Linked DNA regions of Cricetulus griseus. The protein of the gene in region 2 interacts with the protein of the main gene of each other region in a pairwise test. Links are inferred from orthologs where the notes say so. Each region holds a gene or a part of one and is shown on either strand. Other genes may lie near its edges.

Region 1 (3,361 bases), on a different chromosome or scaffold from region 2:
ACACATGCTGGCACTGAGAAGGCTGAAGCAAGAGAATCACCATTTTGAGACAAATCTGGGCATCGTGAATTGACCCTGTCTGAGAAAAATAAACAGATGAGAAAAAGTCAACTTTTATTAGTCCCATCCCAGATTTTTTTTCAATAACAGCGTCTCATGGAACTGAAACATTGGAACAATTAATATCTTGATGTTTGCCCTATAACTTAGGTTTTAAGAGCATTCCCACACACATTAGTTTATCCAGGTCTTCCCGAAGACATGGAAACCAAGATTCCTGTGTTGCGTTTTTTGAGAGTATAGCCTTGGCAAGCCAGGCATGGTGCATTGACCCAGCACTTGAGAAGTGGAGGCAGGAAGATGAATTCTTCCACTGCCGTTCAAGCTTGAGGCCAGCCCGAACATGAAATTCTGTCTTTAAAAAGATTAGCTTTGAAAGTAGGTGCTTTATTTTCTCCACTTTCTTGGGAAAAAGATCAGTTGAGATTGAATCCCCATTAAAACTCCCCTGGCCCATCCACTCCCTGCAACTGCGACAAAGAGGGGCTGGGAAAATCCGTGGCCCCGGGACAGGGGTTCCCCAGCTTCCTGGCCTCAACTGGCTGAGATGTACTTGGGGAGGCCTTCGCATCCGCTGCTTCGTGACCGACACTGCCGGGCTTGCCGCCAGGAGGGTTAGTGGCGCTGGCAGTGGCCAAGGCCAGAGGACTCCTAGGGGACCCGCCCCGGGGCTGCACATCCTTCCAGTCCAGACCACGCTGCGGCTGCTCCAGCATCCATGACGGGTCTGGGCCCACCTTTTCTGGCCAGGAGCCAGTGGCTGGCTCACCCCCTCCCTTAGCCTGTGGGGGGACTCCACCGTGGACCCCATTGGGAGGTGAGCGCCCTCCCCCACCCCACTCCTGTGACTTCCAGCCACCCTCCTGGTTTCTCCCCAGCCCAGACAGCCGGATGAGGAGATGACAGCTAAAAAAAAAAACCTAAAGTACAAACAGGTTGCCTGAGAGGGGAAGCAGCCAGGATCAGAGTTACAAATGGGATCTCAGGGTTCAAGTGGGGTCCCCAGCCATCTCCACAAGTTGGCTTCGAAGCTGAGGGTGTAGTGCTTTCCCTTGCCTGACTCATCGGGCCTGCATCCTTTCCTGCAGGTGCTCAAAGTCTCTGAGGACTAAGGACCTCAGCTAGGTGTGTACCAATGTAATTAGATAGAGCACAGCTCGCATAAAACATATTTCCTGACCCAGGGTCTCCAAGACTAAAAAGAGGTATGGAAGAGAAAGCCCGATGTCTTATGTCCCCCTGCCCAGGCAGGAAGGGTTCCTGTGGCAGTTGACTGTCCAGTCTTGTTAGTTGTTAGTTAATTCTACAGATGTGTTCGTCCCCTGCCTATGGCCTCTGTCACTACAGCTGTCAACGGAGAGGCACAGCCAGCAGCCAGTTCTTGAAATAGGAAGGCCTTTTCATTCTAGATGCAGTCTGTCCATCTGCACCAGACTTCACAGTCTGTGAACTGTGAACAAAACTATCTCATACTGGGACAGTGTATGAATCAAATCGCCTGGGTCCTCCCCCACTTAGCAATTAGGTGAATTCATTCTTGTGTTTGGTCTGTAAAACATGATCAATACTGAAACCACTCAGTTGGATTAGTGTGGAGAGGATGAAGCAAATGCAGGTAGGGACACTGTTTCCTGGCCCTGTCATGGGTCAGGACTGAACCCCTATGTCTAACAGAAGCCCAAGAGTTCCAGAAGGTTCTCCAGACTTGCCCTTCTGGAGCAGACTCCAGTGTGTATGACCAGCTTCCCTGTCCCGTTGACACTGCTGGGGCCCAGGGAATATTCCAGCAATCTGGTCTTAAAGCAGTGGTGTATAACCTTGACCCTGCACCGGAATGATCAGGAGGGCTTGTCAAAACAGGTTGCTGTGGGGTTGGGGTGGGCGATGCTTCAGCTTTTAGCACTAACTGGGTACAGAGACTTCAGTCAAGCCCAGTTTCATGTGCCTTGGAGAAATCTTGTGGGTGTGTTAGGGGGAGGGGGTTCTGAATGCACCTGAGACTGGGACTAAAAATATTTCTTGAGCATCTTAAGAATGACAGAGGCTGGGGCTGGAGAGATGGCTCAGAGGTTAAGAGCACTGACTGCTCTTCCAGAGGTCCTGGGTTCAATTCTCAGCACCCATATGGCAGCTCACAAACTGTCTGTAACTTGAGTTCACACCAATGCACATAAAATAAAGTTAAATAAATCATAAAAAAAAAGAATGACAGATGCCACAGAATGCTGCCCAGCTATTTAACGGACTAATGGAAGGGAACTGAGTCCCTGGCGGCTCATTCATGTCTCCTCCATTTGGGGCCTTCTCTTCACAGACAACCAGGAGAATGGAGGAAAACCGGAAGGTAGCAGCAAGGCCCGGAAGGAAAGGACCGCCTTCACCAAGGAGCAGTTGCGGGAGCTAGAGGCTGAGTTCGCCCACCATAACTACCTGACCAGGCTGCGTAGATACGAGATCGCAGTCAACCTGGACCTTTCAGAGCGGCAGGTGGGGTCCCTGGCTTGTCAGAGCTTCTCTGCTGTCCATTCATCTCCCGTTACATGGCCCCTGCCTGAACACCGTTCCTTTCCTCTACCCAGCCAGTGGTTCTCAACCACTACTGTGCCTGACAATCAACCATCTCAGGGAGAATTATCAGAGTTCTACTCATGGAGGTGACTGTAATTGGTCTGGGATGGAACTTAGGCAGCCCAGGTTTTCAAAGGCCTCCCAGGTAACTCTCATGTGACCAAGGATTAGAACAGCTGAGATCTGATTTCCCCCAAACTTGAACCAGCATTTGCCTCCGATTCACCTAGGCAACTGTTCAAATGGAGATTCTGAAAACCAAGTGTTGTGGCACCTACCTGTAAACCCCAGCACTTGGGAGGTAGAGACAGGAGGATTGTGAGCTCAAGGCTACCCTGGGCACAGGGCACTGAGTCCAGCCTAAGGAACTATCTTCAAGGAAATCAAAAGATGTGCTGGGACCGGACGTTGGTGGCGCACACCTTTAATCCCAGCACTCGGGAGGCAGAGGCAGGCAGATCTCTGTGAGTTCGAGGCTAGCCTGGTCTCCAGAGATAGTGCCAGGATAGGCTTCAAAGCCACACAAAGAAACCCTGTCTCGAAAAACCAAAAAAAAAAAAAAAAAAAAAGATGGGGCTGGGGATGTAGCTCACGGGTAGAGTGTTTGCCTAGCATGCAGGAAGCCCTGGGTTTAATCCCCACATCACAAACAGGGCATGGTATCATGTCTGTAATGCCAGCACACTGGGGAGGCTGAAGTTAGAGGACCATACGTTCAAGGCCATCTTTAGCT
Region 2 (4,784 bases):
TTCTTCACGTTCCCATTCCATTGTGACAGGAAACATCACACTGAAAGAGCAGGGCCACATGCAGTCCTAGCATGGCTGTCCAATGCTTAAACATAAAACGTCATGAGATGTCACCTGGGGAGGTGGAGTGAGACCTGGGGAAAGCAAAACTCACCTGGGCATCCTGGAGCCATAGAGACTGGAAGGAGTCGGGGCATAGCTTCTTACTGCTGCCCCCAGTCTTGACTACCTTCTGGCCCACAAAAGGGGAGACAAGATGGTGAAACTTCCTCACGGATGGCCCTTCTGGCATCTCTGCAGATAGAAAGTGGCAAAGGAGACCACACCCATTTAGCTCGGTCCTCTCTAGCATGTCTGATGGTGTTGTACCCCAAGGAGCCAGTTTGGGTCAACCACTTCAAGAGTATATATTCCAAATCTGGAGCCTGACTGAGGTAGGGGGATCAGATCTCAGAGAAGACTGAGCTGGGGCAGGGTTCAGGGCCAGCTTCGCAGCAATGGTTTCTCTTCCTAGTCCCTCACCCAATATCCATGCAGCAAATATAATCAACATAGCATGCTTGGTGTCATGTAGCAGGCACTGTCTACTTCAATGGCACGCCACCTCAATGGTCTGCCACTCCTTATTTGTTTCATTTCTTGAGACAGAGTCTTGTTATGCAGCTATAGGTGACTACTATGTACTACGTAGTTCCAGCTGTGCTCCCAAGCGCTAGGATTACAGGCCTGCAACAACTCCTCATTCCTTTTTGCCGGGTATATTAGACCTCTAACTCATCTCCATGTTTTCTGTCTTTCCCCGTCCCACCCCCAAAGCAATCAACCCTCTGCTCACTTATCCATACTTGGATCTGGCTCTCTCAGGGCCACCTCAGGGGAGGGAGATACTCACTACTTACCAGGTCTCTTAGAGTGGTTTTCTATCTGTGACCACAGTGCTGGCAGATCTCCAAACTGACAAGCAGACACCAGCCAGCAAGAGAGCTACCAACCAGCTTAACTCCTGATAATATGCCTGATGGCTGAAAAGCCACAGTAAAAGCAAGGCTGGACTGCCTGTCACCCCTTCCTTCCCTGTTCTCAATCACCCAAAGTCACTGAGAGGCACCAGGGTGAGGCAGCCTGAGTGGCCTACATCCTGCTTTCACTGAGTGGAAGTCACAACACGCCCCCCCCCAAAAAACACATACACACACACACACACACACACACACAAGGTTCCCTCTAACCTTATCAGCCACTCACCGGCACTAGGCTCCATAAATCATGGTGAAAACTGACAAAGGGACATGGCAGGTAGTTATTATTTCAGTGTTTCTAAAAGCAGTTGGTTGTTTTTTGTTGTTGTTGTTGTTGTTTGTCTTGCTTTTGGTGGTGGTGGTGTTTTTCAAGACTCACTCTGTACCCCAGGCTGGTCTTGAACTCTGAGCAATCCTCCTGCCTGAGTCTCCCAAGTGTGAGTACTGGAATTAAGTGTCTCCCTAAGACACTTAAAACATACATTTTAACCAGAGAATCGGGATAAACAGAATATCTTAGTCATTCCACGAATTCTCATAATTCATAAGCAACATATTCAATAATGTTGTTTTTCTTTTCTGTCTTGAGACAGGTTTGCCCATATTTCAGATGCCAAGAAGCCTATAGTCCACTCTATAGTGCATGGATGGCCTCTACCCCCATAGTACTGTTATTACGGAACAGTACCACCACTCCTGCTTTATCCTCAAACAGTGCATCTTGCAAGCTAGGCAATCCCTCTACCAACTGCGCTAAGTCCCAAGCTTCAATGCAATACTTAAATTTGTCCACACTTGGATTCCCACCCACACTCTTGGAAATGTGGTAACTATTCATCTACTCCAGGGGAAACTACTGGGCTGGAAGGCAGCTTGCCAGGTACTGGCACCCTAACCACCTCTCAGTTCAGAGTCGGCCTGGCCTTCCTCAGAGAAGGTTCTGGAAAAGCCCGCCTGTGCAATGAACCGTAATCTTAAAATCTCTACCGTGAGCCGGGTGTGGTGGTGCAAGTCTTTAATCCTAGCACCCTCAGAGGCAGAGGCAGGAGGATTTCAGGGAACTGGAGGCCACCCTGGTCTACACAGCGAACCCTGGCTACACGTAGACCCTGTATCAAAACAAACAACTCTCCGCCCATGGGCATGCTTTGATGGTTAGGAAAGAGATAAGATGAGAAAATAAGAACCTTGTGCTTCGTTGGTAGGGCGAGGTGGCCAGGCAAGCAGAACGTGGTCCCTCTTCGGTGGCCAAGCAGCGTTTTAGGTGCCAGGCGGAGTCTGAGGCATCTTCAGTGTGACTGAAGCGGGAGCAAACACGAGAAGGTCACGAGGGCGGGGGCGAGAGGGGAGCGGAAGGCAACGTGATCAACAAAAACAAAAATACGACCTGGCTGCGCGTGTCCATAAGAGACACTGCTTAATTTTTCTGTAATTCACTTTTCACCAAAGATTAAAAAGAAAGTTGTGTTGAAAACGTGCACGAGTGCAGTCCCGGGAAGGTGGGGAGGGGGCCGAGGGGCTCGCAGAGCCGCACTCCCCGGGATCCGGGGTCCCAGCGACCGCAGCAGGAGTGCAATCCGCCAGCGTCTTCCAGTTCCGGACTGGGGCGGGGAGCGCGGAGGACTGGGGATGGGGCACAGGGGACGGGGAACTTCCGACCGGTTCAATAGGCTTGAGCGCGGGAGGCGGGGTGGCCTGGGGCCGCAGAGTTCCTGGGGTTGGCGGGAAGCTGCTTCTGGCACTCCAGGGACCGAGCTCGTTGGGGGCGGGAGTTGGGAGTAGGGCTGCGGGCTTCTCTCCTGGGAGCGCTGGAGATGGGAGCCTTTCGCGATGAAGGAGCTGTAAGTTTTTACCCTGGGGGTGCTGGAGGTGAGGTGCACCCCGAGCTGGAGAGCTGCGGGCTTCTGTCCTGGAGATGGGGGTTCGCCTCGAGATCGGGACTGCAGGCTCTTCTACTCAGGCTGCTCCCATAGGTAGGAGGGATGCTGCTGTCTCCTGCCGGCAGTGACCAGCCGACTTGCAACTCTCTAAGCTTTTACCCTCGCTTGAGGCACTCTCGGAGTGTATTCGCCCCAGCCCTAACCCCATACCTCCCACCACCACCCCTCTCAGCCCCTCCGTTACTCTCTCCTCCCACCCCACCCCGCCAGCTTGCGAACTCCCAGGATCCAGGAGAGAGTGGACTGGTACCAAGAAAAGGCAAGCGCTCAGAAGCCAGTGGTCTTGCGTGGTTCAGGCCAAGACAAACATGACGGGTTTTGGCTTTTTCAGACAAAGCCTCACAGTCTAATGCAGGCTGGCTTGGAGCTCACCGTGTAACCCTGGCTACCCTTGAACTCCTCCAGTCTTAGTCTTTAAAGTGCCGGAATTTTAAACACAGCTAGCAAACCTGGTCTGTAAAGCTTTGAAAGACTGAGGTTTGGTTTACTTTATATTATTTTAATGATGTTTGAATTTTTACTATACTCTTTAAATTTTTTATTGTGTATTAAAATTTTTATTTGGAAGAATAAAGATGGTAGCAGGTTGTTCAAAGACAGGACTCCAAGAAGGGTGGGAGTCCTTTACAGGAAGTTAAGGGACTTTTGGAGAACTCTTGAGTAGGCCTACAGGAGGTGGCTAAGGTGTCAGACCCTGAACCTGGGAACTGAGGGCTCGAGGAGGGCTTGGCCAGCACAGGGAAGACAGCCCTGCCTCAATGAGCAGTTCAGCTAGCCTTCCACCTACCTGCGGTAGGGCAGAGAGCAGGAGGCCTCTGACATCTGAGGGGCAAAGGTCCTTTTAGAGGCAGAAGGTGAGCTTGAGGGCGGGGCATTTGCAGGGGGGGGTACCTATTTATGTGTAAGTACTGGAGTATACTTTCCCACATCTGCTACAGGATACAGTGCACTCCTGTGCCAGGGGGTTACACACACAATCGAGAAAATGAATGGTTCACAATTTGCTGCAGTCACTTAAAATCACCTTTTTAGTTCGCTGAGCATGCATTATGTAAGACACCTTGTAAAATCTTTACCTAGACTGCCTTGTCATTGGCTGTGGGAAAACAAGCCAGCCATAATACCTAAATCTAGTCTCTAAATGGGACATCTGTGCCATGGTGTTATAGACATAAAGCCATATTTTGCAAACTCTGATGTGTATGTAAGTCACTCAGAGACATTTACATTATGAGAAGCAGTGTGCCTTTCTGACAAGCTCCCTCCCCCCAATGCTGGGCGGTCTTGTTTTTGTTGAGGGGATGCTTGAGATATTAGTTAGGAAATGCTCATAAGCTAAAAATTGTTCAACTCAGGCTGTGTAGGGTCTCCCTAGCTTGTAAGTTTCTTGTTCTATGGGAGTGGGATTCTGAAATTCAGTAGACCGGTTCTATAGTAGTTACGAGAATTTCAACAAATCCATATCTTTGTGATTGCAGTGATGTACAAATGTTCTCCCGAGGCTAGCCAAAGCTATCAGTATCTAGCAGGCCTCAGGGCTCAATAAGCAGTAATGCTTTTGAGTGGAAGAAAAATTTGTTGGGGCTGATCTCAGATTTAACAGCTGGAAAACTAGTTGTAATGCTTGTAGAGAGATAAGGCGTGCGCCCTCATGTGGTGAATGTATGAACTGCAAGCACAGTGAGTAAATGTGGTCTTCCACCAGCTGTGGCCTTAAGGAAGTTCTCTGGATGGTAGCACTACAGGATTTGGAAATTCTGATAATCTCAGAGACTCCTATGATCTGAATTCCTTTGTCGTTGCTAGGTTGTCTTCATTCGACTCT

Evidence for each region. The genes of interacting proteins can lie anywhere in the genome.
Region 1: the proteins of Neil2 (region 2) and Meox1 interact in binary tests that used the Homo sapiens proteins (3 or more experiments, as listed by UniProt). The two-hybrid records come from large-scale screens. The link is inferred for Cricetulus griseus from reciprocal best matches to the Homo sapiens genes NEIL2 and MEOX1.

What each region holds. Positions count from the first base shown.
Region 1 is NC_048600.1:116,217,008-116,220,368, forward strand, and holds part of Meox1 (homeobox protein MOX-1), read left to right. Parts: intron 1-2,374; coding exon 2,375-2,547; intron 2,548-3,361. UniProt on the Homo sapiens protein: Mesodermal transcription factor that plays a key role in somitogenesis and is specifically required for sclerotome development. Required for maintenance of the sclerotome polarity and formation of the cranio-cervical joints.
Region 2 is NW_023276807.1:218,223,824-218,228,607, forward strand, and holds the start of Neil2 (endonuclease 8-like 2), read right to left. Parts: upstream 3,049-4,784; 5' UTR 353-3,048; coding exon 155-352; intron 1-154. UniProt on the Homo sapiens protein: Involved in base excision repair of DNA damaged by oxidation or by mutagenic agents. Has DNA glycosylase activity towards 5-hydroxyuracil and other oxidized derivatives of cytosine with a preference for mismatched double-stranded DNA (DNA bubbles).